3 linked regions of the Callithrix jacchus genome follow. The protein of the gene in region 3 purifies or fractionates together with the protein of the main gene of each other region. This does not show direct contact. Links are inferred from orthologs where the notes say so. Each region holds a gene or a part of one and is shown on either strand. Other genes may lie near its edges. The genes, in order: UBTF, MYBBP1A and SIRT7.

Region 1 (10,050 bases), about 66 Mb from region 3:
TTAGCCGGGTGTGGTGGTATACGCCTGTAGCCCCAGCTACTCTGGAAGCTGAGGAAGGAGAATTGCTTAAACCTGGGAGGTGGAGGTTCCAGTGAGCTGAGATCACACCACTGCACTCCAGCCTAGGTGAGAGAGTTAGACTCTTGTCTCAGAAAATAAAAATAAAAGGGTAATAGTAATGGTTATCCTGCAGGACTGTGAGGGCATGGAATGAAATCATGAGACCAGCCAGCACGATGCCTCCCTCTTCCTTCCAAGGGTCCCTTGCCCTCTCACCTTGACCCAGAGGTCCAGGTGCACCTTGTACTGCTTTTGCTGCTCCTCGGCTAGCTTTTTGTAGTGCTCCTTCTGGCTCTGGGAGATGCGCTGCCAGCGGCTGCCGATCTCTACCATGCGCTCCTTCAGTGGCAGGTGGTTCAGCTCCCCATTGGACAGCAGTTCCTGGGAAAACTTCTGGTAACCGTTCCTGGGAGGTGGGGGTGATACAAGGAGGGTCAGGACCCCAACAAAGCAGTCCTCCAGCTCTGACCGTCCCCCACCCCCAGGGCAGGATCCAACCCCCAGGCTCACATGGGAGGCTTCTTAGGTTCTCCCTGGAATTTCATCTTCTTGGAAGAATTTGTAGCAGCTGGAGGTGCCCGCATCTCACTTAGCTCTCTCTGGAGGGAGAAAGGTCACACTCAACCCCAGTCCCACCCCCAAAATACTGCTGCCTTCTGCCCCATGCCATCAGCACCTTGGCTGGCTGTTTTTTCTTTGAGATGGGAGTCTCGCTCTGTCACCCAGGCTGGAGTGCAGTGGCATGATCCTGGCTCACTGCAACCTCCACCTCCCGGGTTCAAGTGATTCTTCTGCCTCAACCTCCCGGGTAGCTGGGATTACAGGTGCACGCCACCATGCCCGGCTAATTTTTGTATTTCTAGTAGAGATGGGGTTTCACCATGTTGGCCAGGATGGTCTCGATCTCCTGACCTTGTGATCCACCCATCTGGGCCTCCCAAAGTACTGGGATTATAGTCGTGAGCCACCGTGCCCGGCCTCTGTCTTTTCTGTGCCGGGGAGGAGAAGAAACAGGCACAACTAGTGAGCAACTTCCTAACAACTCAGGTCTCTGGCAGGCACCACAGTTTACAACTGTGCCTCCTGAGTCAGCCTGGGGGCTAGCATTGAGAGACATGGGTTCAGAGAAGGAAGCTGAGCCTTGCTAAGGGTAACAGATCAAGGCTAGGCCTTCTGGCTCAGAGTTGCCCACCCAAAGGGGAGCCCCCAAGCTTTTAGTGAATGGGGTGGCCCCAACCCCATTACTACCTCGTATCGCTTTTGGTCTTCGGCTGCCTTCTTAATCCACATCAGTTTCTCCTTCTTCTCCATGTTATTCCAGGTCATTTCCATGGCTTTCAAGGCCTTCACCCGGTCATTCTGGGGAAGGATAAGGGTATCAGCCGTGGGGTCACCAGGGGCTAAAGGCTGAAGTACTGTCCTGTCCCACCCCTGTTACCTTGAAGCGGGCCAGGTAGTCGCCAATGACGCTCTGTTGCCAGATCTCCTCAGCTCTCTTGGGGGACTCAGGCAGCTTACCCCGTTCCTCACGCTCCCCGCCAGGCTTCCTCTCCGACTGTGCCTTGAGCGCCGCCTCCCGGGCCTTGTACTTGGCCTACGGGGAGGGCCGGGACGTCAGCCTTCGGTCCACCCCTAGGGGGCGCGCGTTCCCCGTGCAGCAGCCGAGGCGCACCCGCGGGGCGGGCAGAGCGGTGGGCTGGTGCAGTTGTCTCCAGCCCAGGGCTCGCCCCGACCTGGCCCGTGGCGCTCAGCTGACAGCTTCCCGCCTTCCGGCTGCTGGGCGCCGGCCCCACATCCCAGCCCAGGCACCGCGAGGCCCAGGCGGCCAGGTGGCACGGACCGCCGAGGGGAAGATGGGCCCTGGCAGGCCCCCTGGGGGCAGCGGCTCTCTGCCAGGCAGGCTGACCTTCTTCTTCTCAGACAGGTCGTTCCACATTCGGGCCAGCAGGCGGGTCAGCTCGCTCTCTGAGAGCTCAGGCCGCTCCTCCTGCAGCTGCCTCCGCTTCTCCTCGGAGAAGATGAACATGGCCGAAACTGGCCGCTTGGGCTTCTCAGAGCCGCCCTGTCCAGGTGAAAAAGGTCAGGGTCCGTGGGTGCTGCCAGCGAGCCGTCTTGCCCACCCCCGCCTGCATGGCCGTGCCCCCTGCCCACCTTGCCCCCTTCCTGGGCTGGCTTCTTGGAGGCAGGGCTGGTGGCTGGCTTCTTGTTGATGTTCAGCATCTTCTCCTCCCCCAGGACCCGCTGCTGCTCCTCCTCGGGCAGGCTCTGGGCAGGAGAGAAGAGCATGGGGCTGCATGGCTGGCACCATGCCCTATAGGGCTGAATGGTGCCCTATCCCCAGGGGCTCACTAGGGCTCTGCCTGCCAAGCCCCAGTCCTCTCTGCCCAGTGCCCTACTGGAGGAACACTCACCTCGAGGAAACGGAGCAGCTCCACCTCGTAATCTTTCTTTTTCTGGGAAAGTGAGTGGAGTCAGGATCAGTCTGGAGACAGCGTCACCAGAGACCCTGCAGTACTCGGAGGACAGTGACCTTCAATGGGCCTCCAGAGCCTGGGTGTGGGCTGGACTCCCTGCCTGGATGGGCTCAGCTCTGAGCCCAGCCCAGCCCAGCCCAACACCCAAATGGAAGCAGGTACCTGAGGTATATGCCACCAAGAACTGACTGGCCCAAGCTGGGGTCAGACCTCATGCTTCAAAACCCCAAGGCAGGACGGCCCCTGCCACAGCTCACCTGGTCACACTTCTTGTGATAGGCATCCTTCTCCTTCTGGGACAGCAGCTTCCACTGCTGGCTGCACAGCACCATGCGCTCTGTGCTGGGCACGTCCTTCATGTTGGCCATGAGCTCTGCGCAGTACAGCGAGTAGCTGTTCCTATCGGAGCCGTGGGGGGAGAGGTGCAGCCCGTGAGTGAGCAGGGCGGCAGGCCTCCTCGCCCACAGAGTCCGACCCAACTCCCCAGCTACCCACTCGCCCACCCACCCCAGGGCAGCGCTCACGGAGGTGGCTTGGTGGGTCGCCCGTCAAACTTGTCCTTGAGCTGGCGTTCGGCCTTGGTAAGGGTGGACTTGGTGATACCCTCTTCACTGATATTCAGCTCGGGGTGCTTCTGGATATAGTCTCTCATGATCTCCTGCAGAGCCAGGTGGGGGGACGGAGGGCAACGTGGTGTGGAGTTAGCTGGGGCAGGGGTAGGGGGAGAGCCGCTGGGGAGGGCAGGCAGGGAGCAAAGCTGGGGGTGGCTGTGTGTCAGCAGTGTCACACGAGACGTGGTGCCCTGCCCTGCCCTAGCCTGAGATCTCATGGGGCGGGGGGTGGGGAAGGTAGGGGCAGAGGCAAGGGGCCCAGAAGGCCCCTCCCTCAAAAGAGGAATGGGGAGTGACACCTTCCGCAGAGTGCGGTGGCCACGGAGTCGAAGGGCAGAGGCTCGTGAAGAGCCGGACGGGGAGGAGCGCAGCGGAAGCCTAACCTCGTACTCCTTCCGCTGCTCCAGGGCCTTATGAATCCATTTCAGCCTCTTTTTGTCCGAGAGCTGAGACCACTGCTTCCCCAGGGAGTCCTTCACCTCCTTCGTAGTGGCCTGCAAACCAAAAGCCGTCAGACACGCACAAGCAGCCAGGAGTGGGGGGGGGGGGGAAGGGGGCACAGAGGCCCCCGCCCCCTCAGGCCATGGGAGGTCACATCAGTGTCCCCCACAGGCCAGGAGGGGAAGGTGGAGAGGCGGGGATCCCGCCTGGGTACAAGGGGACTGGCTCACACACGCACGCACGCACGCACACGCTCGCACGCCAGCTGGCCCAGGCCCTGTCCATGCAGCCCACCCTTGGGGAGGGGCCTCCTCTCCTGCTCCCCTGCACCGTGCCCAGCCGACCTGGCGCGGCTCCCCCCTGGCCACCACCGTGCATCCTCCACCCCCAACCCTTGGCCGGACACTCACATCTGGCCGCACTTTGAGATACACCTTCTTCTCGTGGGTGTACCACAGCTGCTGGGGGGTTTTGGGCTTCTCTGGGATGTCCGATTTCTTGGCATTCTGGATTAGGTCAGGGTGATCCTCCCTAGCCAGGACATGGGGAGCAAGGATCAGCAGGGGATGCTGCCAGGGCAGACCCAAGCTAGCTGCCCCACCCACCAAGCCTCCTTGGCCTTTCAGCTGTGGCTCAGTGGGACGGTGGCTGCCTGACTGTCCCTGCCCCTCTGAGCATGACACACTAGGGCTCACATGTGACCCATCCTTCTTCCATGCCTCAGAGACGGCAAACTCCAGGCTCTGGCCAGGGTTAGCCTATTCAGCTGTACCCAGTGCCCGTAGCCCTCCTCTGGGCTCCACTGCCTTACCTGAATCGGGCCAGGTTTCGCTCGAACTCCTGTTTCTCCCTCTGGAAGTCCTGAATATATTTCATCTGAGGGGAGGAGGGGATGGGGTCACCCAGGACCCAAGGATATCTCACCCTGAGCTAAGAAAGCCACCCAGACCCCTCCTTGTGCGCTCTCTGCGGCCTCCTATGCTGTGGTGCAGGGGTGGAGGCTGGCACCCTGCCCACCTCCCCGCGGGACTCATCACAGAGGAGACCTGCTGGCTTCTACTACAGATGGTGGGAGCTGCAGGGGTCACCCAGACATTAAATCCTACATCCTATTCTCTCCTTGCAAGGGAGAGTCAGAGAAGGGGGCCGTGGCATTACCCAGTCATGCAGTACGCAGTGGCAGTGCTGGCGCTCCCCCACCCATTTCTCCACCACCACAAAATACCCAGTGGAGTCAGGTGCAGGCCCTGCTCCCATCACTCTCTTATTGTCTGTGGCAGCTGACATTAGCCTGTACCCCTGGAGGTGGCCTCTACATAGGACCAGGGCTGGGCTGAGTCCTGTTTCCAAAGTATGAGAGGAGACTACTGTGTGGAGGGAAACCCAGAGTTCTTACAATACAAGCCACGGCCAGGAGCCCTGCGCCTTCCTGTCCAGTTCTGACACCATCACCTTCCTCCTTTTCTCCAGGATCCCAGCTGTCTGGATCCTCCAACCCTCCCTCCCTCCCTCAGCCCACTCATTCTCTCCCACCACTTGACTTCCCTTCATCACCCCCTTTTCAGCCTCACCCCCTTCCCACCCCCACCTCCCTCCCTCCCTGCATCCTTGCCCACCTCTCCATGGCCTCCCTCTTGTAATCCGTCTTTTTTTATTCCATATCTACCTCCTTTCTTGGCTCCCACATAATGTCTATCTCTTCTTTTGCCTTCATAGGCTCACAAGAGTGGCACTGGAAGGTGCCAGGAGCTCATGGCAATTAAGCCCAACCCCTGCCTCTTAGAGAAGCACCAGGCATAGAGAGGCAGCACCTTTCCCTCCAGTTCTCACAGAAAACCAGAAGCAGAGCTCAGCCTCCTCTTCCCCAAGCTCAGTCCTCCTCACAAAATAGTTTCAGAGCTGGAGGGCACCACACAGACCTGGCTCACCTCACATAAAGACCAGGCCCAGAGAAGCGGAGTGACTTACCAAAGACCCCATACACAGCGAGTTCAGAGCCAGGAGAACAGGCCCAAGTCTTGTGTCCCCCAGGCCAGCACCTCGTCCACTCTACCGGTTTCTTCTGGCTTTCCCTGGCTCTCAGACTCTTGGCCTCTCCCTCCCATCCCATGAGAGTATTTGGGTATGTGTGGTCAACTGTCCAACATCCTCATCAAAAGGGCCAAGAACAGTTCCAGCACTCCATACCCCTGCTCTGCTTGGGCAGAGGTTGCAGACAGCTGGCTTCTTTTTGGGTACAGCACCATGCGCATGTGAATCCGCAGCGAGGGTATGCCAACCAGGAAAGAGGGCTACTCACAGCGTGGTGGCTGCCAGCGTCATCTTTTGAGAACTGGCTGTGTATGACTTTGTTTCCTTGCCAAGCAGATGTGCTTCTTGTTTTTCCTGCTGTCATTCCCATCTATCCCTGGCTGTCTCCTCATCCAATGTCTCTTCCTTGGGTCCTCTCTCCCCATCCCATGTTTCTCGTGTCCTATCTGCAGGCTCCTCCAGTGTTTTGCTGCCTATCTCTAGGAGGGAACCCCTGAGCTGTGTGTGTGACTGCTTCTAGCCCTGCCTGGGAGGCCTGGGCAACCCCCTGCTCAGGGTTAATGCTTTGATGGTCTGAGACAGTGCCCGACCTCTGCAAGGAAGAGCATGAGGCCAGGAGGGGCAATGTGTGTCCTTGAGTGAACATGTGTGTGTGTGGAGAGGTGTACTTCACAGGTGGACGTGGCAGTAAGAGCACTGGCTGGGACTCTGGGACACTATCCTGCTATAGCATTAACAGTTGTGTCACTCAGGCCACGTAACCCTCCTGCACACAAAACTGGGATAACATTTTCCTGGGTTTCCTTTTCGAAAACACTGCAAGTATCAAATGAGACCATGACAGGAAGCGTCACAGAGAGGGAAGAAGTGCTGTGCAGCCTGACAGTGAGGATGGGTGGATGGGGGAGAGCCTTATAAAACAAAACACTGTGGGTTTTCTACAGGGGGAAAGGTTGGCCTGAGCACCTGCTGTCTGGTTTACGTCTGTGACGGTGCCCATGCCTGACCACTTGTGGGCTGAGGAAGGGGCAATCAGGTGTGACTGCCCAGGACCTACTCTGCTGTGCTGACTCACCTGTCCCCGATGCCAGGTCCCTCCAAGGCCTACCTCCAACTGACCCACACCACCCCAGCTGCTCCCAGCCTCTCCCCTCCTCCCACCTTAGCTCTCCTCCCCCCACCTTCTTCTTCTCTGGAAGCTCCTTGTATTTCTTGGACAGAATCTTGGTTAGGTCCAGGTTGCTCATCTCAGGGTGGAGTTTCGCATATTTGGCCCGCTTCTCCATGAAGAAGCGGAAATAAGGGGTCAGGGGCTTCTTTGGGAAGTCTGGGTGTTTCTGGAAGGAGGGACAAGGACATAATGGAGGTCATATACCATCTGTTATTTGGACCTTTCCTCCCCTACCCTTCATGCGCCTCTTTCTAGTAACTCACCTTGAGTTTTTTGCCTTTGTAAGGATTTTTCACGTGTTCCTGGGCATCAAGGATCAATTCTGTCAATGTACGGAACTTCCTCACCTGGAGGAAGAGGAGAGGAAAGGAGGGGAAGTTGAGAAAAGGAAAATGCCACACAGTAGCATATCCCTATCTTACCACGGGTACTCCCATCCTGAAACGGGTCTCTTCTACTCTTCACTGGACTAAAGTTACCAAAGAGCAGAGGCCAACAGCCAAATGAAGCAGGCAGCATGACACCCAGGCCCTGGCCCATGCCTACTGCAGAGGCCCAGGCAGTCAGTGCACACCAAAGGCCAGCAACAAGCGGACGACATGACCTCTACCTGGCTCTCCATGCCAGCACCTCCTTCAATCTCAGCACAGCTCAGGCTGTTTGGCTCAAGACCGATAGAAAGTGGCGTAACTCTAAGCCAGTGCTGTCAACCACACCACCTCCCAAAGTGCACAAGGGCAGGTAGAGAGCTAGCAGGCGACCACACAAACACCTCTCCTGGTCTCTTTCCTTCCTGTTTACAGCTGGCTATTTCACTTCCCCCCACCACAGCTGAGGTAGGTGTATGTGGAGATGTGTATACATGTGTGTCAGGAAGGGGATCAGTTACCTCGTTAGAAATCTCCACCCATTTGAGCTTGCACATGTCTCCAGAAAAGTCCTTAAATGCTACTTTTTCCCAGTCCATATGTGATTCGGTGGTTTTGAACTTGGAGCTGTCATTGGATGGAAGATTGTTCTTCATGCATTCCAGCAAAGTCAGCATGTCTTCCTGGGACCAGCGATCTGGTGAAGGGTAACAGAGGCCATCGTACCTGGCTCATGCTATCCCCCTATTCTGTTCCCCAGTTATTGAGTGCTCAACCCTTTTTCCCTAGGAAATCCCAGCCCCTGGTTGCTTCCCATCTGAAGGCAGAGATAAAACGTAACTCAGTTCTAAGCCAACTGTGGCCATATTGGATCAAGGCAGGGACTCCAGTCCAGAACATGCCATACCTAGAAAGCTAGGTTTGACTGGCAAACATGGTGAAACCCTGTCTCTACTAAAAACCCAAAAATTAGCTGGGTATGGTGGCACACGCCTGTAATCCCAGCTACTCATGAGTCTGAGGCAGGAGAATCACTTGAACCTGGGAGGTGTAGGTTGCAGTGAGTGGAGATGGTACCATTGCACTCCAGCGTGGGCAACAAGAATGAAACTCCGTCTCAAAAAAAAAAAAGCAAGGCTTGAACACAAGTCTGGCTTGCTTCAAAGTTATTATCATTTCTCCCGTGCCAGGCTGCTACCAGCAGCTATTTATTGTAAGGGAAGAGGAGTGGGTATGAAGGTATAGTGATTCAGGGCTTTGTGGGAAACAGGTAGCTTGTCAGAGAAGGTGGGAAGCAGGGAGGCAATATACCTAAATGTGTGGCCAAGCTCAAGTTCCGAGTTTAGGATACCCTAAATATGCAAGGACTGAGAAGGGGGTGTGGGCAGTAAGGAAAACCCATGCAGATGTCTGCGCTGCACAGATGGAAACCAGTGTTAGAGACACCTCCACCCCCAGGCCCCTCAGCGTAGATCAAGGAAGAATTTCTGGCAAACAAGAAAAAGGGAACAGAAACAGAAGCAGCATACAGAGCAGCTCTGAGGTAAGGGAGGCAGGTGCACAAAAGCTCTCAGGGCCCTGCTCCAGGGAGAACCCCCAGAATAACAAGCTGTGTTGTCAGCCCAACTCCCCAGGGAAGCAAGACCAGGTCTGGACTAGCTATTTTCAGCCACGGAAATGCAGCTCCAGAGAGCACTCTAGGCTTCTGCGGATGGGCTGGGAGAATAGCCACCCAAGGCCAAAAGTCAAAAGGGCTCCTCTCCATTTTCATTTGCATCTCCTAACCTGGGCCAGGGTTTCTGCAGAGCAGGTCACATGGACCCATAATCCCCTCTCCCTTCAATATCCCCCAAGCATGGCCAGCTGCCCAGCTTCATCCTACCTTCCAGCCCCATACAGACTTGATCACTGCTGAGTGAGGCAGAGGTCTAGGTGAGTACATATAGCCCATGGCTTGGGGCCTTAAAACACCTCTTTTCTCCACCTATCTCTATAAAAGCCTCATCGTCTTAATAAAAACCCTGAGACGACTTCCCCAGCCCCTTCCTCTACACTCATTCTTCCTCCCATCCCAGGACACTGAGACGGGACACACTTCAGGCTGAATGGGACCCCAGAAGGCATGCCGCCTCAAACTCAGGGGATGAGGGAAAGGAGAAGTGAGCCATTCCAGGCCAAATAATTTGAATTCAACCACACCTCAAGTGTGGGAGATGCTTGATTCATCAATACTTAAGGCACTTTCTTGCCCAGTTCAGAGTATGGAGAAGCCCTTGAGAAGGGAGTGAGCCCCGCAGCCATGAGAAAAAGAGGATTTAACTTTCAGAGGGCTGGGGATGAATGCCCCTACCTTGGCCTTTGGGAGCGGCCATTTCCAGGTCTGTGGGGCAGTCGGCTTCTCCGTTCATCCTCCAGCTGTCCAGCCACCTCCTTGGTCGTGCTGGCCGGGCAACCCGGGGTCAAAACCACCTCACCCTTTGGAAGACATACCAGTTCCCACTCAGGCAGGGTAAGAGGTGAATGACTTTCTATCCCTCCCCTCCCAGAGTGGAGAGGGGCAGGTCCACACTCTCAGAGTCCCAACCATGACCTTACTGGATTTAAAGGGTCTGTGGGAGTGGGAGTGAGCCCCTCCTCTGCTTCCTGACCCCCTCCCCCAAACCCTGCAGCCCAGCTCCGCGGCGCGCGCCCTCCTCTGCCCACGCGAGAGCCTGCTCCCAGCTCCCGCGTGCAGCAAGCGCCCGCCCTCCGCCCTCCTTCCCCAACCCTGGCCAAAAAAAACTCCTCCTCCTCTGAGCGCCCGCCCCGGGGAGGCCCCAGGCTGGAGGGCGGGGGAGGAGGAAGGGCGGGTAAAGGGCGCGCGCGACCACGGAAGCGGGCACGCGCCCCAGTCT
Region 2 (10,050 bases), about 69 Mb from region 3:
CCCCACACCCAGCCACAGCTGCACCTTTTATCTGAAGATGGGCACAGCAAACTGCAGCCTTCTCTGTGCAAGCCAAGACCAGAGAGCCCAAGGTTGCAGGCTCCACGTGTGTCCTGGAATCAGCAGGGCTCCGTTGCTATCAAAGTCTGATGCCAACACTCAGAAGGGGCATCACGGCAACCTTTACCCACATAGCTCATCCACAGGCTGGGCTCAGAATAACCAAAGTTGGCAAATAAAACCACCACAGCCAAGTGGCCAGACCGGCAAGTGAGAGACCCATCTACTCAGGCTACATAAGACCACCAGCCTCGATAAGAGCCTCCCTTGTTGTGAGAAGAAAACTCTCTAAGAATCAGGGTAAGAGCAGACGCAGTGGCTCACACCTGTAATCCCAGCACTTTGGGAGGCCAAGGTGGGCGGATCACCTGAGGTCAGGAGTTCAAAACCAGCCTGGCCAACATGGCGAAACCCTGTCACTACTCAAAATACAAAAATTACCCAGGCGCGGTGGCAGGCACCTGTAATCCCAGGTACTCGGGAGGCTGAGGCAGGAAAATCGCTTGAAGCTGAGAGGCGGTGCTTGCAATGAGCCAAGATCACGCCACTGCATTCCAGCTTGGGAAACAGAACAAGACTCCATCTCAAAAAACAAACAGATGGCTGGGCGCAGTGGCTCACATCTGTAACCCCAGGACTTTGGGAGGCCGAGGCGGGCAGATCATGAGGTCAAGAGATTGAGACCATCCTGGCCAATGTGGTGAAACCCCATCTCTACTAAAAATACAAAAAAATTAGCTGGGCGTGGTGGCGCACGCCTGTAGTCCCAGGTACTGGGGAGGCTGAGGCAGGGGAATTGCTTGAATCCGAGAGGCGGAGGTTGCAGTGAGCTGAGGGTGCGCCACTGCACTCCAGCCTGGTGCCTGGTGCCTGAGTAAGGCTCTGTCTCAAAACAAAAAACAAACAAAAAAGGAATCAGGTGAGTGTTGAATGTGGTCAGGGCTTCCTGATGGGAAGAACTGAGAGGGAGACCCTGTGGTTCTAGAGAACCCGTGGCCAGAAGGTGTTCCCACAGCCAGAAGGTACAGTGCAAGCTACTCTGCCTCTGAGTCTCAGTTTCCCCATGTCAAACATGGAGAAGTAGAGTCTGCCTCAAGTTGTGGGGATTAAGAAGGCCTGCCTGGAAAGCTCAGGACACCAGCTGGTGCCTGCTAAGGGGCCGGAGTGATGTTTCCTTGGTGATAATTCCACTCATGTTGAGGCTGGCTTAGGAAACCTCCCAACATAACTCCCCAAGCCTTTCCTGGCTCCCCCCCATAGCCCTCATAGCCACAGGACCCCAGGCTCATGGCCCCTCCGTCCCAGGCCACAGTACCTTGAAGAGGTGGATGCCCACGAGCAGCAGAAGGTGCTGGAAGGCAGCAGCCCTGGGCTCTGAGGAGGGGGCCTCCAGCTCCTTCAGAGTCTGAAGCATCCTGCAGGGAGCCAGGCAGATCCCTCAGACCCCAGCTGCCATCAGACCACAGGGTCCTGCCAACCCCCCCCCCCCGGAAATCCCACCCGCTCACCGGTCCCAGGCCTGGCACTGCTGTGCAGTGAGGGGTGTCACAAGGCTCACGCTGTGGCTGTGGTTCAGCAGCAAGTCTGCAAACTGTACCAGGCGGTAGGTCCAGGGCTGCCCGCCCCGGGTCTGCTCTGGTGCCAGCTTAAACTGCGTGCTGAGGGTCTGCAGCAGACTGGGCGATGGGCAGGGCTTGGTCACCAGACCGATAAGTGAATACAGCCACCTCCCTCCGCCCTCCCCAGGGCTCGGTCTCCCACCTCTCCAGGACCTGCTAGAACTCCCTGGGCCTCGGCCGTTGTCCCCAGCGTAGGGGAACTGCAGGGAGCAGGCGTCCTGAAGACCTTCCCACTTTCGGACCTCTCCTGAGCCGCCCCAGGCTCACCTGAAGAAGGCGCTGCTGACGGCCTCTCGGGCCTGGCTTTCCAAAGGGAAGGAGAGCTGCTGCCTTGTCTCCGGGATCTGGGATGTGGGCTTCTTTGTGACGAAGAACGAGTGGAACAAACAAAACCTGGGGCAGGCGGGAGAGCAGCTGGTGCCGTTCACGGCCATTTGTTTCCACGGGCTCCCCTCCCCTGGTGGCACCACCCAGGGTTCAAGAACAGGAGGAGGAGGGGGGCCCTTCTGTCCCCTTCTGCTCTGGGTACAGTCCTCAGGGCCCTCACGGGCAAGGCTGGAGGTGGCTGGGCCAGGAAGGGCTGAATCCCCAGCTGAACATGGCTCAACCTGAGCTAGGGAGAGAGAATCAGTGCCCCTCTCAAGGAACCAAGAGATGTGAGGCTGTGTGGTCACGGCCGAGTCACGCCACTGCTCCTGCAAACATGGGGCCAGTGCAGCCCCCTCCTGCAACCGGGCATGCTGAAGGCGAGGTGAGCACCTGGCTCTGCTCGGGCACAGACGAGGCATTCCCTGGGCAAAGGCTCCCTGCAGGGCATGCACAGCACACCCAAACCTCTTAGGTGCCTGCAGCTGGGGTACCTCCTGGGTCCCCTCCCTACAGGCTCCTGAGGAATTTCCAAGTCCCCTTGTGCCTGCTCCCCACTGATGACTCAACCCAAAGGTTTCTGGCTCCAGAGGACACAAATCAGGACGAGTTGAGGGGCTCAATTCCTTGACCACATGCCTGCAGGAAGCTCCAGCACCTCTCATACCTGGCCACCTCCTCCGTCAAGGCCTCCTCCATCTCCAGGTACAGGTTGTCCACAAGGCTCACCAGTCGAAGGATGATCCATTTCCGCAGCCGGAACACAGCTCGCTTAGGCCTGGGGTGCAGGGGCGAGGTCATGTGAGCCACTTAGAACTGGCAAAAGCAGGCTGGGCCCAGTGGCTCACACCTGTAATCCCAGCACTTTTGGAGGCCGAGGCAGGTGGATAGCTTGTGGTCACAGGAGTTCGAGACCAGCCTGGCCAACATGATAAAACCCCATCTCCACAATAAATACAAAAATTAAGGCCGGGTGCGGTGGCTCACGCCTGTAATCCCAGCATTTTGGGAGGCCGAGGTGGGCGGATCACCTGATGTTGAGAGTTCAACACTAGCCTGACCAAGATGGAGAAACCCCATCTCTACTAAAAATACAAAAAATTAGCTGGGTGTGGTGGCACAGGCCTATAATTTCAGCTACTTGGGAGGCTAAGGCAGGAGAATCACTTGAACCTGGGAGGCAGAGGTTGCAGTGAGCTGAGATTGTGCCATTGTACTCCAGCCTGGGCAACAAGAGGGAAACTCCATCTCAAAAAACAAAAGGTAGCTGGGCATGGTGATGGGTGCCTGTAGTCCCAGCTACTGGAGAGGCTGAGGCAGAGAGTCGCTTGATCGCTTGAACCTGGGAGGCAGAATTTGCAGTGAGCTGAGATTACATGCCACAGCACTCCAGCTTAGGCCAGAGTGAGACTGTATCAAAAAAAAAAAAAAAAAAAAAAAAAAAAAAAAAAAAAAAAAGAACGAACTAGCAGAAACATGACATTCCTTTAACTGATCTCAAGAGACAGAAAACCAAGCTCTCCCCTTCCCAATTGCCAGTGCAGGACCTCACAAGGAAACCAAGGTCTCGTTTGAGAGCTATGGTGCTTCCCCTCTCTCTGCTCATGGTTTAGAGCCAGGACACCGAGGGCGGGGGTGGGGGGTGGGGGTGGCGGGATCGCTGGGCTCTGCAGGCTAGGGAAGCTAACTCCTGAAGGACAGGTCCTTTGCACGGTCCACTCACATGTGCTGTGATGCATCCTGAGCTTTCTTCGGGTTGTCGGTGCTTAAGTCAATCAAGGAGTCCAGGTCCGGCTGGAGAAACATGCCCTGCAGCCAGGCCACATAGCCCTGCAAGGCCTGAGGGCTCAGGAACCGCACGACCCGCCAGAAGGTAGGCACCACTGGGAGGCCGTGGTTGGTGGCGGAGGAGAAGGCCACCAGCACAGCCAGCTGCCGCTCAGGGTCGTCCCGGCATCCCTCTAGGAAGGTGCCCACGTACTCCTCCATCTCCGTGGCGAACTTGAACTGGTCTGGGAGCTATAAGAGTTAGGCACGGCACTGAGCCCATAAGCTTGCGGCCTTTAGGGTTAAACCGAGGCCCAGGGTCTCCCCTTGCACACAGCAGGGCTGAGCCTGAGCTTGCTCCATTCCTGGTCACGCCAGTGCTTCTGTCTGGCGTCAAGGCCTCCCCGGGTCTGACTTCCCCAGCTTCAGTGCCTTTGGCCCCAGAAGGTCCCTCTCGCCACATTGCTGGGTGGGGATGGCCCGTTTTCCTGGCTCAACGCACAGGCAGAGCCGTGGTTAAGAGGCTAGGCTGACCCGGGTTCAAGGCCTATGCCGCCAATTCCTCGCTGTGTCATCTTCGGGACCTACCCAACCACCTCTCACGTGCTGCCTAGGTGCCAGGACCCGTGCTCCACGTTTTGTCTGGCAGCTCAGCATCTTAGCAACCCTTTGCACTTGGCCATTACTGCCATTGTGTAGGTGAGTAAAGTGAGGCACAAAAACGTAGAATAAAACTTCTCAGGGTCAGAGGGCTCCCAGTGGGACCACGTCTTGCCTCACAGCCCAAGCTCTTCTCATTGTAATTTTCTCCAGTTGTGCCCCAGGAGTGCAGTGCCATGATCATGGCTCACTGCAGCCTCGAAATCCTGGGTTCACGTGATCCTCCCACCTCAGCCTCCTAAGTAACTGGGACTACAGCTGCACACCACTGTCCAACGCAGGCTCTAAATCACTGCCTGATGCTTCAAGTCTGCCCCCACCCAGAATGACAGCTCTTGGAAACTTGCTGCAAAGATAAAATGAGCTGCTGAGAACAGTAAACCCAGCAGTGCTGACTGGGCACCAGGCACACCGGTGCTTAAACACGGTCACGATGACTGTTCTCATCACCGCAACATGGGCGGGGGTGGAGGGAGGTCTGGCTCAAGTGGGGGCCCGCTCCTTTTCAAAACTGTCAGAGGGAAGCCGGGCGCAGTGGCTCACATCTGTAATCCCAGCACTTTGGGAGGCCGAGGCGGGTGAATCATCTGAAGTCAGGAGTTTGAGACCAGCCTGGCCAACATGGCAAAACCCTGTCTCTACTGAAAATACAAAAATTTGCTGGGTGTGGAGGTGGGCACCTGTAATCCCAGCTCCTCAGGAGGCTGAGGCACGATAATTGCTTGAACCCGGGAGGCGGAAGTTGCAGTGAGCACAGATTGCATCACTGCCCTCCAGCCTGGGCAACAAGAGAAAACTCCAACTCAAAACAATCTGTCAGAGGGGAAGGGGTTCAGACAGCTCAGACAGTGGACACGCCCAGGTCTCTGGCCAGGCCCTGAGGTGCCCTCTCCCCTTCTTGGCAAGGAGAGCCCCTGCCCACCTTGGCTGTGCACGTGTGCTCCCCGTAATGGCGGATCACGTCTCCCCGCATCACCAGCTGCAGCTGTTCCTTGGTCAGCAGGGGAAGGGCGGCGCCCAGCAGGCGGAAACACAGGTAGCTAAGAGGGAGTGTGGGACAGAGCATGGTCAGAGCCCTTGGTCCCCCGGCAGGGACATCAGGACTGGCGGCCCAGCCCCACTTCACAGACAGGGAAGGGGGCTGAGAGAGGCCACGTGCCACACGCACCTGGCTGGCCAGAACTGCAGCTTCAGCAGCCCCTGTTCCACCACCCCCTTCCAGAACCGCAGAAACTCGTTTTCCTTGAGTGCCAGGTGGAGCAGCTCCAGAGCGACAGTGGGCAGCTTGCGTTCCTTCTTCACGGAGGACGCTGCCATCTTTAGCACGTTCACCAGCCTGTGGGGGGCAGACGACTCAGGGAACGCTTGCCTTACCAGCAAGGGCCAGGGTGCCAAGAGCAGCCGGGGCACTTCCAGGCCACACGGCCAATCTGGGCTTGGCCAGATGCAGTCTTATGGCCCCAGAGAGAGCAAATTCATCCACCTCCCTCACACCTGGGAACATTCTCATCCGAAAATAGGTTGATGGATCCCACCAGCTTCTTGAGCCTAGAGGGCACCTTCTGCTGGGCCAGGAGGAAGAGCCCCAGCTGTTCAGGGCAGCTGAACATGGCATCCAAGTCAGTGCTGAGGACCTCTGGCAGCATCTCCTCCAATGTGGCCTCCGAGACCTAAGGGTGGAGAGGTAAGAAATGGTGGCTTCCTCTGCCGGGTGAGCCCAGTGAGGCCTCTTTTACCTGCCAGGCACCAGAGTCATCAGAGACCATTTGCTAAAATACTCAAATTCCTAGGCAGCTAGGTTTTTTGACAAGCACCCTGCTGATGCTAACTGGCCCGGAACTACCTGCCCTTTTTTTTTTTTTTTTTTTTTTGAGACAGAGTCTTGCTTTGCCACCCACGCTAAGTGCAGTGGTGTGATCTCAGCTCACTGTAACCTCCACCTGCCTGGTTCCAGCGATTCCCCTACCTCAGCTGGGATTACAGGTGTGCAACTCCATGCCCAGCTAATTTTTGTATTTTTGGTAGAGATGGGGTTTCACCATATTGGCCAGGCTGGTCTCGAATTTCTGACCTCAAGTGATCTACCCACCTCAGCCTTACAAAGTTCTGGGATTAAAGTTGTGGGCCATGGCACCTGGCCAGAGCTACCCATTACTCATTCCTGGTTTTGGGATTTCAGAGGACTAGCCCATTTTATACACAAGGGGCCCTAGGTAGACAGCTGGGATTTGAATTCAGGTCCTTTTGGCGCTGAGGTCAAGACTCCTTGGTATGCCCTGGTCTGGGACTTGCCAGCCCCTGCCTTTCTCTTCAGTGGCAAAAAGGCATAGGTATACCTTCCCAAGTTGGGCAGTGGAGGCCCACGAGGGACCAGCCTTGACCAGGACGGCAACAGCAAACGTTTTATATACCTGCCACGTGTCAGGTTCAGTTCTAGAGCGGCACTAGCCACATGGGGTTGCTGAGCGCCTGAAAGGCGGCAAATCTGAACAGGGATGTGCCGTGTAAAATACACGCTGGATTTTGAAACACACTGAAAAAAAGAGTGAAGATACCTCAACGATTTTTTTTTTTTTGAGACAGTCTCATATTGTCACCTGGGCTGAAGTGCAATGGTGCGATCTTAACTCACTACAACCTCTGCCTCCCTGGTTCAAGTGATTCTCCTGCCTCAGCCTCCTGAGTAGCTGGGACTTCAGGTGCCTGCCACCATGCCTGGCTAATTTTTTGTATTTTTAGTAGAGGCAGAGTTTCACCATGTTGGCCAGGCTGGTCTCAAACTCCTGACCTTGTGATTGACCCACCTCACCCTCCCAAAGTGCTGGGATTACAGGTATGAGGCACTGTGCCCGGCCAGCTCAACAGTTTTGTATACAAATGCATATTGAAATAATATTTTAGATATACTAAATGATGTAAAATGTTACTAATGACATCTGTTTCTTTTTACCTTTTTTTTTTTTTTTTTTGTGAGACAGAGTTTTGCTCTTATATGGCTTGGGCTGGCTGGAGTGCAATGGCGTGATCTTGGCTCACTGCAACCTCCAACTCCTGGGTTCTAACGATTCTCTTGCCTCGGCCTCCCAAGTAGCTGGGATTACAGGCATACGCCACCATGCCTGGCTAATTTTTTCTATTTTTAGTAGAGATAGGGTTTCTCCATGTTGGTCAGGCTGGTCTCAAACTCCCGACTTCAGGTGATCCGCCCACCTCCCAAAGTACTGAGATTACAGGCATGAGCCACCATGCCCAGCCTCTTTTTACCTTTTCAACAAAGTCACTGAAACACCTCAAATTATATGCCTTTATATTTCTATGGAACAGTGCTGTTCCTGATTCTCATCTGAGCCCTCTTGATGTCTCTGTAGCGGGAAGTGTCTCCAGAACCCGCAAGGCTGGTGAGCTCATACCTCGGAGAGAATGTCCACCAGGGCCTTCCAGGGCTGCTCCTGCAAATGGTTCTGGTACTGGGCCAGGGCCTGCAGCAGCTTCACTGACTTCCTCAGTGCCTCCTGGTCCTGGTCCTCACAGAGGGGTAGAGGGTATGAGCAGGGACTGCTACTGTCCCCCACCCATCCAAGGCCAGCCTACATCCCCTGGCCCTCCCAAAGTTCTCACCTTCACCAGCCGGCCTGACTGAAAGAGGGCGAGCACTCCGAACAGGTTTGCAAAGAGAGCAGGTCTCACCATTGACTAGAAGAGGATTCCAGGCACAGCATGAGGGGCCGTGGGACTTCCCACCCCCAGCCTCTCACCCCCGGGGCTGCTGACCTCCCCAGGCCCACTCTCACCTTCTTCACCTGATGCAGGTCATATTTTTCTTGCATCTGCTGCAGGATGCTGCACAAAGGGAGGTCTTCAAAAGACTGTAACAGCTGCCAGGAGGAACAGGGGCTCAGGAAGTGGCCCAGTACATCCTCACACCTCAACCTCCCTTCCTCCTTCAACTCCTCCCAAGAAGCCTCAGGTGCCTAGTCGCACCCCAAGAATGCCTCTGAAGCTGCTCTCAGGGAAACGAATCTTGCCTCCCTGCCACATCTCCACTCCTGTGGGCTTCCAAAGTACCGTCTGCAAGTGGTTCTGGGATTGGGACTGGACTGGGACGGGGCCAGGGCAGTTTTTTTTTTTGAGATGGAGTCTTGCTTCATTGCCCAGACTGGAGTGCAGTGTTGTGTTCTCAGCTCACTGCAACCTCCACCTCTCAGGCTCAAGCAATTCTTCTGCCTCAGCACGCACAGTAGCTGGGGATTACAGGTGTGCACCACCAGCTAATTTTTGTATTTTTAGTACAAATGGGGTTTCAACCTGTTGGCCAGACTGGTCTCGAACTCCTGACCTTAGGTGATCCACCCGCCTCATCCTCCCAAAGTGCTGGGATTACAGGTGTGTGCCACTACCGCTCCCAGCCACAAAAGTACCTTCTACAGCCCCTAGATTGCTCTGCTGAAATTCTCAGCCACTGGGTCTTCTCTCCACAGCCTGGTCTGAGCTCCACTCAGGCTGATCCGGCGAGCCTGCGTCTTAACTGCTCTTCCCCTTGTCAGGGCTCCTCAGAGAGTGGGCTACTCCAATCAGCTGAATGCCCCCTAAGGGAGCCCACCCCACCCAGCGCTCACTGCTCCCAGCAAGTGTACCTAAGAGTCCGGGTAACCCAAGCACCAGAAAGAAAACCTGCTCCGCTCTCCACTCCCTCTGCCTGGACTGCTTTGGAGACAGGCCCTGCTTATGCTTTCTCCACCTTCCTGTGAGGAGGCTCCCTCAGACTGGCCTCCAATCAGCTTACACTTCTCTCCGGGCTGCCCCTCCGCCGCGCTGAGACACCCGCCCTCCGCACACCCCACCGTTTTCACCTGCGTGGCTGGGATCCTGCCAGGAACACCACCTCACCTGGGCCAGGGCCAAACTGTAGCAGGGCCGGGCTGTTTCTCGCCCGACCCCGAGTCCCGTGATGAGCCGCTTCAGGGCGTATTTCATCTCGGACCCCTGCGGAACCAAGCGCATGCTCGCGTTGAACGGTGACAAGAAGCTGCACACCCCCGCGCACCTTGGCATCCAGGTTCGCGACCACTTGCCCCCATCCCAAATCCCTGGGCCCGCCGCCGCTTCCTTGCGGGAAGTGCGCGGCCCCTGCCCCAAACCCGCCGCCCCACCTTCGGCCTAGCGCGCAGATACTCCAGCAGCTTCTCCGTGGCCGCAAGTCGCGTCTCCTGCTCAGGCTTCACAATGTCCCAGAAGAAGTCCAAGAACTCGCGGCTGTGTTTCAACAGGCCGTGGCGGTCCGCAGGCCGGGCGCTGTTCTGTGTCGCGTCTCCGGACGACAGGGGCTCGGCGGGTTCCCGGCTCCCCATCTCCGCGACACTCATCCAAACACGTGTGCCCGGGATCCAGCCGCTTCCAGGTCAGGGCCAGGCGCATGCGCACTGGTTTTTTGAGTTGGCTCGGAGAGGGACCTGGGAGGGGCGGGGCAGGGGGCGGGGGACCCAGGAAGGGCGGCATTTCCGCCCTCGCTCTCAGCGGAAGTTCCTCGCTGCGCCGCGCGCGGTGGCTCCAGCCTTACGCTCGTGCCCGCTCTGCCCCG
Region 3 (10,742 bases):
AAAGTTCTCATTAGACCTGTGGGACAACCCAGCCTTCACCGTGACACTGGCCATTTGCAAAGTGCCAGCTGTTCTTCATTGAGCACCAGGTTACGTCACTTTCTTCCTTTTTGTGCGTTTTGTGCAGCCTCTGCCAAACCAGCCCCCTAGAATGGGGGCTGAGCTAAGTGGTACACCCCGGTCTCCAGGTGGGGCCTCCTCTCTGCTTCTGCACAGCGACTTCCGACTGTGGCTACCTTCTTCATCAGCACGCAGGGGAGTCGCCAGTGAGAAAATGGGATCCTGCCACCTGCCAAAAAGGGAAAGCTGCATCAGGCAGGCCTGGGAGCCTCTCGAAGTCACACCCTCCCCAGCTCGGGAAAGCTGTCTGCGGTCCCTGCCTTCCCATCCCCTTCCCTCCCGTGTCAACCGCGGCTGGGCTCCAGTTGGTGGCAGCTTGTTACCAAGCTGCAGAACGGATGTGGGAGAGGTCACCTCTCAGGTGTCACTAAAGGTCAGTGCCCACATTAGCTAGCTTGGTCTCCTCAGAACTCCGTGTCCTCATCCACCACTGAGCAGCGTGCACACACAGGGCGGGGCAGCAGTGGCCCCAGGGCTGCCTCCGTCTCCAGGGATGAGTCACTAGCAACTCTGGGCCCCACCTTTGACTTGTAAGGCCAGGGGCAGGTGGACCAGACCCTCTCCCCTTTCCCAGCTGACTAGGGAGGCGTGGCCTACAGACGACACCGTGAAGAAACCATGTGTCTTACTGAGATGTAGAACCACAGATCATAACTTAAGATACAGATAAGCACTGATAAGGAAAATGAGCTAAGTTAATGTAAAAAAAAAAAAAATACAGTACACGATAGCCCACATCACAGAACACCACACACATAACATACAAGAAGTGCCAGGCCCAGAAGGCGAAGGGATCCTTAATTCTTGAACCCTTTGATTAAAAGAAGTTATTGATTTCCCCTATAAGACCCTGAAAATTCACAGAGAAAGAGAGTGTAAACTTTTTACTCAATACATACACCAAGTCTAAATTAGCACAAATTCTGTATTAAAGCACAAGTTTAAGCTTTCCCAAAATACGCCAACTCCCAAAACCAAGCACAGATTCTGTCTGACCAGACTGCTGAGTGCACGTCCCCTCGAGACATTTCCCACCAGGCATCTCAGAGAGCTCCATGGGGAGGCCTGGAGCAGCAGCATGCGGGCAGAATCCCTCTCCCCTTAGGGATTCTGTGCACCATCAGCTGGCGCACGAGTGGCCCATGCATAGTCTCGGCCAAACACCAAGGTCAGGCCCTCTGGAGACCACCACGCCTCAGTCACGCCTCAGACATCGCTGCGAACACCTCAGAGCCTCCTCCACGCTCAGCTCATGAAAGAAGACAGACAAGGCCCAGCACATGAGGTGCGGGTAAACGGGCTGCTGCGGAGGCCCACTCACCTGCTATAGGCAGGGATCTCCAAGCCCAGCTCGGCCATGAGGAGCCGCATAACGTCATCACACTTCCCATGTAGCTTCAGGGCGGCCCAGTCATCCTTTGGGGTCCACTGAGGACAGGGAAAGCCAAATGAGGGTAAAAGCAGCCCAATCCTTCCTAGTGGCTTGTCAGCCTCGGCCCAGGTGGCCTCGGTCGTTGCTCCCTGAACACCCACGGGGGACCCTATCAGACTGCCCTGGTGCATGGGTGTCTCTGGCTCTGCATTCTAAGGCCCAGGTCCGAGCATGTGGCTCTCAGCACCCGAGATACCTGCAAGTTCACAATGTAGAGCTTGGGCCGCCGGCTAGGAGGCTTGGTCATGCACCAGAGGCGGGGGTACTTCTTTAGAACCTGTGGGAACAGACGGACAGACACAGCACACACACAAGGGACAAGGCTGTAGAGTGCTGGGCTGCAGAGCTGGACACCCTTGGGCAGGTGGGGGCTCAGCTCATTCATGGTGTCGTTGGCACGCACCTTCAGGCTGGACCCCAGACACAGGATGGTGTCTGCTCTGCTGGCAGCCTCAGTTGCCGCCTCCCAGTTCAGAGGCTGCCCCAACGTCCCCCTCTCCCCAAAGTGCACAATTGTGTCCCGGAGCTGGGCCCCACACTTGTGGCAGGTCCGGCCTGTCTGGTGTCTGTGGAGAGCGGTGCGCTCCGTCACATCGAATACCCGAATGTACTCCCTGTTGGGAACGCAGGAAGTGCAGACCTGAAGAGGAGAGGGCACAGTGAGTGGGACCCGCCTGCCCGTGGAGTTCCCGGGTCCCCTTAGGACTGCTCACTTCAATGTACATGTTCCCGTGGAGCTCTGAGATGGCCGTTCGTGGCAGCCCGCTCCTCAGGTGGAGCCCGTCACAGTTCTGAGACACCACATGCTGCACCTGGAAGGTGGAATGGGAAGGGCTGTCAGAGGGTGGGGATATCAAAACAAGGCCACAGAGAGGCTGTTCTGAACCCAGCTGATGGCTCCCAAGACCAGGAACAACTCCAACCCCACAGAGAGCCTTTGAAAGTACAACACACAATAGGACCAACCACCAAGACTCAAGAGGGCCTATGGTGGGTGGCGCTGTGCCCTTCCCTCCAGCCCTGATGCACCCAGATTGGCTGGGAGGGCAAGAGGCTGTACCGTCCCAGCAAGGTTGGGAAGTGGCTTGGGGCTTTGGCAAGGGTCACTTTGCTCTGGATCCATGCTCTTGTGGGTCATGATGTTTCAGGTCCCTTCGGACCCAAGCAGATCAACCCCTACCGGTGCCTTGGTTGAGGGTGTTCAGCAGAAGGTCCCCAGAGAATTCCTACAAGCCTCCCCTGTGACTAGGATGGCTTCTGAGATCCACAGAAAAATGCAAAGGAATCACAAAGGGGAAAGGCCACTGGCACCTCTGGGTCTGAGGCTGGCTGTGGATGAGATGGTTCAGAGGGGGCGCTGCCCTTCTGTCTTGGAGAGGAAGCAGGGGGAGGATCCAACCCGGGGTCTAACCCACTTGGTGGGTGCTCATCATGGGAGTCAAGCGGTAGACAGAGGCAGGATGCAGTTGTCCACTGAGCACCAAGATGCTCTGCCAAGTGTACCAGCCGCCTTGGGCTCTTACCAGCTTCTGTTCATGCAAACGGGTGATGCTCATGTGGGTGAGGGTTGGCTCAGCCTCGCTCAGGTCAGCAGCACTACCAGGCGGAGGGAAGGCAAGGTGAAGGGAGCTGGAGCTCAGGCCCACACTGCCCTTGCTCAGCCCATGTGGGAGGCCACGCTTGGCCCACTTACCTAATACTTCTCCCTTTTTGAAGCAGCGTCCACACTCCATTAGGGCCCCTGTAGTCTGGGATAGAGGCTGCCTGCATGTCAAGAAAAAAGGCAAGCCAAGTAAAGGCACCACTGTAGGTACTGGCAGAATTCCCAGAAACAGGGAGCCACTGTCCCTCCTGCTGCATCCGGGCTGGCCTGCACGTTGGCCTCTATGCATTCCACAGGCTGACCAACCTGAGCCCATATGGTGTGTACCGCAATTTGGCCCCTCCCTTCTACCTGGACTTCCATTTCCTGCCTGGCCCAGCTTATCCTTCCAGGTTAAACACAGCCCTGCCTGTCTCTGGGAGCCTTTCTGGCACCAAGCACAAAGCTGGGCTCTGTGGCACATGTGTCCTTCACATGGCAGGGGAAGACAAGTCATGTTCCTAAGCATCCCCAGGGCCGAGCCCACAGCTCACACATTTAGCAAATGGTGAATCCCTAGGTGGGGGCAGGCAAATGTCCATTCTCATATCCAGATGCTAAGGGTTCCTGCTCCACCTTAACAAAAGCAGAACCACCTCTCCAGATGAGATAAGCATCTAACTTCCCAGGTTTCCAATCCTGTGAAACAAACTGAGGCCCAGAGAAGGACTGAGAAGACATGCCAGGATAAAGGTGTCTTGTGTTTCCTACTGGGGAAGTCATCTCCCAACTCCTGCTTAAACTCAGAAACACACACCCGCCCTGGACAGCAGTATTCAGACAGTCACATTCAAGAGGGGAACCTCAAACAGTAACATGAAATCCACGAGCTGCATGTGCTCTCAGTTGCCACTGGAAGTTCTCTGTAAGAGGTCACATGATTGCTATATAATTATATTACTGGACTTTTTTTTCAAGATGGAATTTTGCTCTTTCACCCAGGCTGGAATGCAGTGGCAAGATGTCGGTTCACTGTAACCTCCACTTTCCGGTTTCAAGTGGTTCTTCTGCCTCAGCCTCCCAAGTAACTGGTATTACAAGCACCCGCCACCACGCCTGGCTAATTTTTGTATTTTTAGTAGAGACAGGGTTTCACCATGTTGGCCAGGCTGGTCTTGAACTACTGACCTCGTGATCTGTCCGCCTCAGCCTCCCAAAGTGCTGGGATCACAGGCGTAAGCCAGCGCGCCCAGCATGACTGGACTTTCACACATGACTGTGGCGGTAGGAGACCCAAACCCCAAGGGCTCCAGGTATCTAAGTTAGCAATGAACTCCTTTTCTGCATTCTTGCTGCTGAGCTTCTATTATTATTTGCTTGTAGTGCCTCATTCCCACCTTCTTTTCTTCAAGGCCCAACTCATGGCCACCTCCCACAAAAAGCCAACACAGATGGGTTTCTCAACTCCATGAGGACAGTGTGTTTGTCTGGGTTTGTTCTAGTGATCTAGCACAGCCAGCTTTACCTTACAGTTGTTTGTTCACATGCCTGATTCTTGTCATCTAAACGCTTCCTGAGAACAGAAATCACCTGGCGTTCAGATCTGCTATACCCAGGCGTGCCTAGCACTCCATGCTCACCCATTAGACTCGATGGACAAGGTGCCAGCTACATTTTCGAAGCTAGTGATGTCTCACAGCCCAGGAGAGCTTGTCAGTGAAACTTCTCAAAACGCATTGCAATTCTCTCCTTTACCTGGTATAGTCCGACTCTTACTGTGTCACTTTCTTTTTATCTTCCCTCAACATGCAGAGAACAGAGTGGAGAATCACAAGACAATTTTGGGCTTAGCTCTGTCCACATAACCTGGGGGTGCCTGAGAGCAGTTGGCTACTACATCCCATTCATATCTGCTTTTTTGTTTTTAACTGGCTGTAATAGAGGCCAAGCATTTAAGAAGTCTTTACCTTAGGTAAGTTTTGGTCGTTTCGTGTTTTTCTAAAAAAGGAAAAAACCTTAGAGCTGCTTTAAAGATGAGTTTTTCACGATTGGGGAGTTAACCAACTGGAGCGCATACACCGTCCTGGGGTCCACCTCCCAGAAGGGGCACCCCCCACCAATCCCTGCCTTCCTCCCTACCGTGCTGATTCCCGCGCCTGTGTAAACGACCAAGTATTTGGCGTTCCGGATGGCGCTGGCCAACTCCCGGACTTTCCCCCGCAGCTCCTCCGGGTCGTCGCACACCTGTCGAGACGCCAAGGTGGTCACCGCCCCGGGTCGCTCCACCCTGGGCCGTCCGTCGCCCCAGCTGCTCCCGAAACCCGAGGCGCCCGCGGCCTCCGCGCGCTGCACTCACCTCTTCCTGCCGCCGCTTTAGGCCCTCACGCCGCCGGCTCCGGCCCTGCAACTCCGTCACCAGGTCCCCGCTCTCGGCCAGCAGCCGGACCTCCTCCGCGCTGCGCTCCACCGCCGCCTTCCTCAGGATGAGTGACACCTGCGGGCAGGCGGGCGGTGAGCGGCAGCGGCGGCCGGGCATGGTGGGCCGGGGAGCGGCGGATGCGTACCTGGCGGAGGCGATCCCGCTGCTGCTCCTCCCGCAGCCTCCGCACCCGCTCCGCCGCTTTGCGCTCCGAGCGGCTCAGACCCCCAGCTGCCATGGCTCCCCTGGAGACCCGCGCTTCCGCTTCCGCTTCACAAGGCAGGCCGCTCCCAAGGCGCATGCGTGAGCCGGGCCCCCAGGCCCCCCCCCTTCCGGCCCCGCCCATTGCGTCACTCCAAAGAAGCACCTGTCGGTCTCTTTAAAAGGTTTATTGATCATATACAAAATAAAGAAAACCTTATATATCACAAACATACACTATATACAGCAATAAATACCCGGGGGGGGCAGGCCCAGTGCTGCCCCTCCTGGACAATAATTTAGCAATAAATACTGCGCAGGGCAGGGGTGGGGCACTAAGGCCACTGCCCTGCAGGTCAGGCCCCTGCCCGCCCTACACGAAGTGTGAGCTCTCGGGCCTCAGCCCGCATCCAAACCCCAGCCCCTCCTCACTTAGATCTTTAATAACCTTTATCCCACCCCAGCAGATCCCGAGGTCCTCTCCCACACACAGCCTACCCTGGCTAGACCTAGACAGGGCAGGCAGGGACTGATCAACTCTGCTTGGACCCACCTCTCAGCGCCAGGAGAGCAACAGGGCTGGACATGCGGGTAGCCCTTGTCCTGCTGCCCTAAGTTGCCAGGAGAAGGCTTTCTGAACCCACTCCCGTTTGGTTAAAGGCTTCAGGGACTAGCAGATTGAGGGATGGGAAAAAGGGCAGGGCTGGGACACAGGTTGCTGGAGGGGCCTAAGCCCAACTGGGGTCACCAAGAACAGGGAGGTCTCACAGTTTATAGGGGACACACTCTCACACTGTATCTCAAACTCAAGGGACACCCATGGTATCAAAGCTGCTGCTCCAGGGGCAGGGTGGAAATGTGTGGGGGACTGGTCTGGCAGGTGTAGCACCCGCCCAGGACACAGGCCAGAGACAGGCCAGGCATCGGTCTCTCAGACACACCCTGCCTCTGTGTGGCACTGATTATGCACTCCACTCTCCCCACCTGCTCCAAGGCCAGACAGCCAACAGGAAGGCAAAATTATGCCAAAAGAATTATTCAGTGGCTTCTGGGGGGAAAAATCGTTAATGTGTTGGTTCCTTTCACCAAACCACAGCCTAAAAAAGTAACACAAGATCCCAGAGCGGAAAAGGTGTAGCAGGCCGAGGCTCAGACTTTCCAGATGTGGATGGAAGCTTTGGTCAAGTGGCCACTCCAGAGCGGGAGGCAGCAAGGACAACATGGAACCTTACCATAGTACCAAAGCAGGCTGCAGCTCCTCAGGGCTGTGGGCTGGGCACTGACTATTGAGGCTGCTGCTGCTGCTGCTGGTCAGAAGTATGCACACATATCTGAAACATGCACCAAGAGCTGAAGCCCCAGCAACACCAGCACCACCCGGAGCAGCAGCCAGGGCCTCACTCTCTGGGTGAGAGCTGACCTGTCCCCACCAGGCATTTCTCTGAAATCTGAGTATCCATGTTAGGGTAAGGGAGGAGTTGGGGCAAAGTCAAGGTGGAAGGGAAGACATACATCACGGTTTACTTGGCGGACAAGTTTGAGAGACCTGGCCTTGGCCATAGCCCTCAATTGGCTGTGTCAGAAAAGCTGAGGTGAGAAGAGGCCACCACCCTTTTCTCAGTAGGAAAGCGGGATGAAGCTATCAGAAGGACAGCACACTCACATGTGCACATGAACACAGCATCTATGTCAGGAAATCCCAAGGAAGGGGAAGAGGGATGGAGTGGCTCCACAGGGCTGGCCTGACAGGAGACAGGAACACTCCCCTAGACCTAGGGAAGTCGCTCCAAATTCAAAGCTCTTGAAAGGAGGTATGGCCTCAACACTCCAGAGGCCTCTTCTGCCAACACGTCAAGGACTACCCCTTCCATTCAGCCTGCGCCCACCCTCACACCCTCCTCTTCTGCACTCCCTTTGCCTCCAGGTCTGCAGCCTGGCAGAGGTGCTCAAAATGAATGGCCACCCCCAGCCAGGACAAAAGTGGGGGCCACACAGGGACAAGGAGGGCCTGTTCCTTCCTGCTCCAAGGCAGATCATGACATTTTCTTCATAGATACTTTTGATATGATTCCAACTAATGCCTGGATTCTAGTTAGACAAAACTAGACTGAGGAGAGGGGGATGAAGTCACTAAATGACTAGAGTCAAGATTTCGATTTTCAGGCTGGCCTAGGTAGAAACAAGAGTTGTCTCTGAACACCTACAGCAAAGAGAAGCTCATTAAGACAAATGTTGATGGTACATCCCTGTTCACATCTCACAGGCACACCAGGCCAAACTCTTGGATGAAAATCCCACCACCCACAGGGTTAAGCCCTGTCGGCCACAGTTTTTCATCTCACCAGCCCACATTTCTGTGCTTTACAGGGGACTGGGCCCCATAGAGAAGAAACCAGCAACCCTGGTGAAAGGTCAAAGTTTACATGGCCAGACACAGGGCTGTACTCTCTTGGGGTGGGGACACCTCTCCCCATCATATGCCTACCAGGAGCCTCCTGAGCCTAGCCGGGAAGGGCAGCAGCCTCTGTCGAGGAACTGGGAGCAAGAGGCAGGCTGGGCCCCCAGAGGGAGGCACCCCCAGTGAAGCCAAGCAGCTGATCCCTGGAAGACAGATCCCAAAGGGAGGCAGAAGGAAGGCCTGAAGCCAAGTGCTGCCAGGATGGACCAGCAGAGAAGAGGGATAAGACCCAGCCCTGGAGATCGTAGCCCTTGTCTGCACTGGTGGAGCCACCCACCACTCTGCCTGGAAGCACCCTGCAGCATGGAAACAGTTCAGGGATCAAGTGGGCGGTGGAACCTGCAGCCCACGGTGCGTGCCCCTGGGGCTCCCAGCTGAGGCCCCACGTGAAGAGGCCAGAGGAAGACAGCCAGGGAACTCCTGTGGCCACCCACAGTGACTCCTTGGTCCCTGCAACACCACCACCCAAGGCCAGAGGTGGTGGCTGTGGAAGCAGCGTGGGGGGGCCCCAAGGGACCCCCAATGTCACCTACCCCGCCACAGGATCAGCCCCAGCCCTAAACATAGATGTAGCCAAGGTTCAATGGGGTGAGCGTGACAGAGCCCCACGTCTCACCTCCTAGGGATCAGGGACTGCTGGTGGGCACAGACTCCTTGAGCTCTGACGAAGCAGGTACCCCCTGGCACCCCAGCCCAGGTCCAGCAAGCCAGCAGAAGCAAAAGCACAATGAAACCCAAAAAACGAACACGGAAAAACAGACACAAGAAGTGACACCCACAGGTCAAAGGTCACCAGAAGCACCAGCACTTTACCGCTGCACAAAACCTCACCAGGCACGGACAACACCACGGCACCGGCAAGAGACGGAAGCAGGAAGGGCAGAGGAGTAAGTCACTTTCGGTACAATTGCAAAAGATATCAAAGAGGACGGCCTTCTGGTCGGTTCACGGCTTGGCTTTTTTTTTTTTTGTCTTTTTTTTAAACTAAGTTTTATAAATAATGTCCGATAACTCTGTGTATATAAAAACTAAATTCCAACAGCCACAAAGAGTTGTCCATAAGTTTACAAGAAAGGGATTTTTTTTTTCTTTTTTAACTAGCAAAGTTTCTATTATACTTTCTTCCCTTTTCCATTGATATGGTCAAATGGTCTTCTTGCTTTTTTTTTTTTTTTCTAAAAGACAGTTTTATAAATACTCTGCAGCTTTTTTCTTTAACTTTTAAACATATAATTAATAACTTTGTAAAAGGAACTTCTCTCTTTTAAATAAAGGGCTATATAACCACACAAATAGGTCATGTAAACAGTGACACGGGACCCATCGCAGGGCACACTGGACTCACCCTCACGTAAGCGCACAACCAGCGATTTGGTCTTGTTCAGTGCAACGGGTCAGGCTTGAGCGCGCAGTCCCTGGCCCCAGCTGCAGGCCCCAGCACCACTGCGCCCAGGCCAGCGGTCTACTCATCAGGGCCCTCAAGGCCATGCCGGCTCTCAGAGCACAGCCCGTCTCTTCATGCTGGGCTGAGCTGAGTTGCCCTCCTGGGGCTAAAGAGAGTGAATCCTTCCTAGCCCGGGAGAACACATGGGAACCCTCACTGCTCAGGGACACGCGAGGCCCAGCGTGCCTGCTCCTTCTCTCTCCCTGCACTTCTCTCAAGTCCATTCCCACAGCACCAACTCTGGGCTCCAAGCCTGCATGGCCTTGGTACAAAAGGGGTTGGGGCGACCCCACATCACCACCGAACTGACCAATCCCAACATACAAAACACACGACGACAATGACGAGATCAAAGGGGCTCAGCCTGGTGCCCCTGGGGTACAGGTTGTGCTTTGCAGGGAAGAGAGAAGGGCAGGGAAGAGAGGGAGGAAAGAGAAGGAAACAGAGGGACAGGGCAGCCGAATTCGCCATGTGCCTAGTGGCCCCGCAAAGACCCGCCTGGGCAGATGCGCGTCCCTACGATCGGGCATCCGTCTTGGACTTTACTATTGTGATGACACTGGTGGCGGCCACCTTGCCTGGGACAAGGGGCCCCAGGCCGGCGGCAAGGGGGCCCCGGGCCGGCGCCACGGGGCTGCGAGCCACCGTCCGGGCGAAGGTCTGCAGTGCCTCATACTTGGAGCGCAGTGCGTCGAGCTCTAGCTTCATGCTGGCGTTCTCCGAGGCCAGCTTCTCCACCTCCTGCTGCAGCTCTGCCTTTTGCTTCTCCAGCTCCTCCTTTTGCGTCACCCGCTTCACACGGCAGCTGGCAGCGTAGCCGCGGTTCTTGAGTGTGCGCCGGCGCTGCTTCAGCTGGACGATCTCCTCCTTGGACAGGCCCCGCAGGTGCTGGTTCAGCTCCCGCACCGACATGGTCACCAGCTCCTCATCGGTCAGGCTGGTGCCATTCTCACCTGGCTCCCGCTTCACCTGGGCACAGCGCACAGGGTCACAGGTTGAGCAGGCATGCCCACGGCACCACCCCAGCCTGAAGGCTCCCTGTCCCTCTCCACTCACCTTCAAGGCCTTGTTTCCTTTATTGGGGGT

What was found.
Region 1: the proteins of SIRT7 (region 3) and UBTF purify together in Homo sapiens (affinity purification with western blotting; 3 studies listed by BioGRID, with this or other methods). This does not show direct contact. The link is inferred for Callithrix jacchus from reciprocal best matches to the Homo sapiens genes SIRT7 and UBTF.
Region 2: the proteins of SIRT7 (region 3) and MYBBP1A purify together in Homo sapiens (affinity purification with western blotting; 3 studies listed by BioGRID, with this or other methods). This does not show direct contact. The link is inferred for Callithrix jacchus from reciprocal best matches to the Homo sapiens genes SIRT7 and MYBBP1A.

Annotation. Positions count from the first base shown.
Region 1 is NC_133506.1:71,061,121-71,071,170, forward strand, and holds part of UBTF (nucleolar transcription factor 1), read right to left. Parts: intron 9,854-10,050; exon of another isoform or gene 9,752-9,853; intron 9,632-9,751; 5' UTR 9,565-9,631; coding exon 9,507-9,564; intron 7,854-9,506; coding exon 7,678-7,853; intron 7,136-7,677; coding exon 7,052-7,135; intron 6,955-7,051; coding exon 6,799-6,954; intron 4,463-6,798; coding exon 4,398-4,462; intron 4,118-4,397; coding exon 3,997-4,117; intron 3,640-3,996; coding exon 3,529-3,639; intron 3,193-3,528; coding exon 3,059-3,192; intron 2,934-3,058; coding exon 2,792-2,933; intron 2,514-2,791; coding exon 2,472-2,513; intron 2,326-2,471; coding exon 2,212-2,325; intron 2,123-2,211; coding exon 1,967-2,122; intron 1,655-1,966; coding exon 1,499-1,654; intron 1,420-1,498; coding exon 1,309-1,419; intron 660-1,308; coding exon 571-659; intron 467-570; coding exon 277-466; intron 1-276. UniProt on the Homo sapiens protein: Recognizes the ribosomal RNA gene promoter and activates transcription mediated by RNA polymerase I (Pol I) through cooperative interactions with the transcription factor SL1/TIF-IB complex.
Region 2 is NC_133506.1:68,224,507-68,234,556, forward strand, and holds the start of MYBBP1A (myb-binding protein 1A), read right to left. Parts: upstream 9,874-10,050; 5' UTR 9,836-9,873; coding exon 9,623-9,835; intron 9,456-9,622; coding exon 9,360-9,455; intron 8,348-9,359; coding exon 8,264-8,347; intron 8,166-8,263; coding exon 8,091-8,165; intron 7,997-8,090; coding exon 7,883-7,996; intron 6,143-7,882; coding exon 5,967-6,142; intron 5,809-5,966; coding exon 5,641-5,808; intron 5,513-5,640; coding exon 5,395-5,512; intron 4,065-5,394; coding exon 3,769-4,064; intron 2,824-3,768; coding exon 2,713-2,823; intron 2,073-2,712; coding exon 1,947-2,072; intron 1,737-1,946; coding exon 1,569-1,736; intron 1,476-1,568; coding exon 1,376-1,475; intron 1-1,375. UniProt on the Homo sapiens protein: May activate or repress transcription via interactions with sequence specific DNA-binding proteins. Repression may be mediated at least in part by histone deacetylase activity (HDAC activity).
Region 3 is NC_133506.1:137,509,686-137,520,427, forward strand, and holds the start of SIRT7 (NAD-dependent protein deacetylase sirtuin-7), read right to left. Parts: upstream 5,801-10,742; 5' UTR 5,792-5,800; coding exon 5,699-5,791; intron 5,629-5,698; coding exon 5,491-5,628; intron 5,379-5,490; coding exon 5,274-5,378; intron 3,317-5,273; coding exon 3,246-3,316; intron 3,149-3,245; coding exon 3,076-3,148; intron 2,365-3,075; coding exon 2,266-2,364; intron 2,193-2,265; coding exon 1,956-2,192; intron 1,830-1,955; coding exon 1,749-1,829; intron 1,549-1,748; coding exon 1,442-1,548; intron 971-1,441; exon of another isoform or gene 885-970; intron 290-884; coding exon 91-289; 3' UTR 1-90. Other genes in the region: transcription factor MafG, read right to left, coding at 10,173-10,625, 10,713-10,742. UniProt on the Homo sapiens protein: NAD-dependent protein-lysine deacylase that can act both as a deacetylase or deacylase (desuccinylase, depropionylase, deglutarylase and dedecanoylase), depending on the context. Specifically mediates deacetylation of histone H3 at 'Lys-18' (H3K18Ac).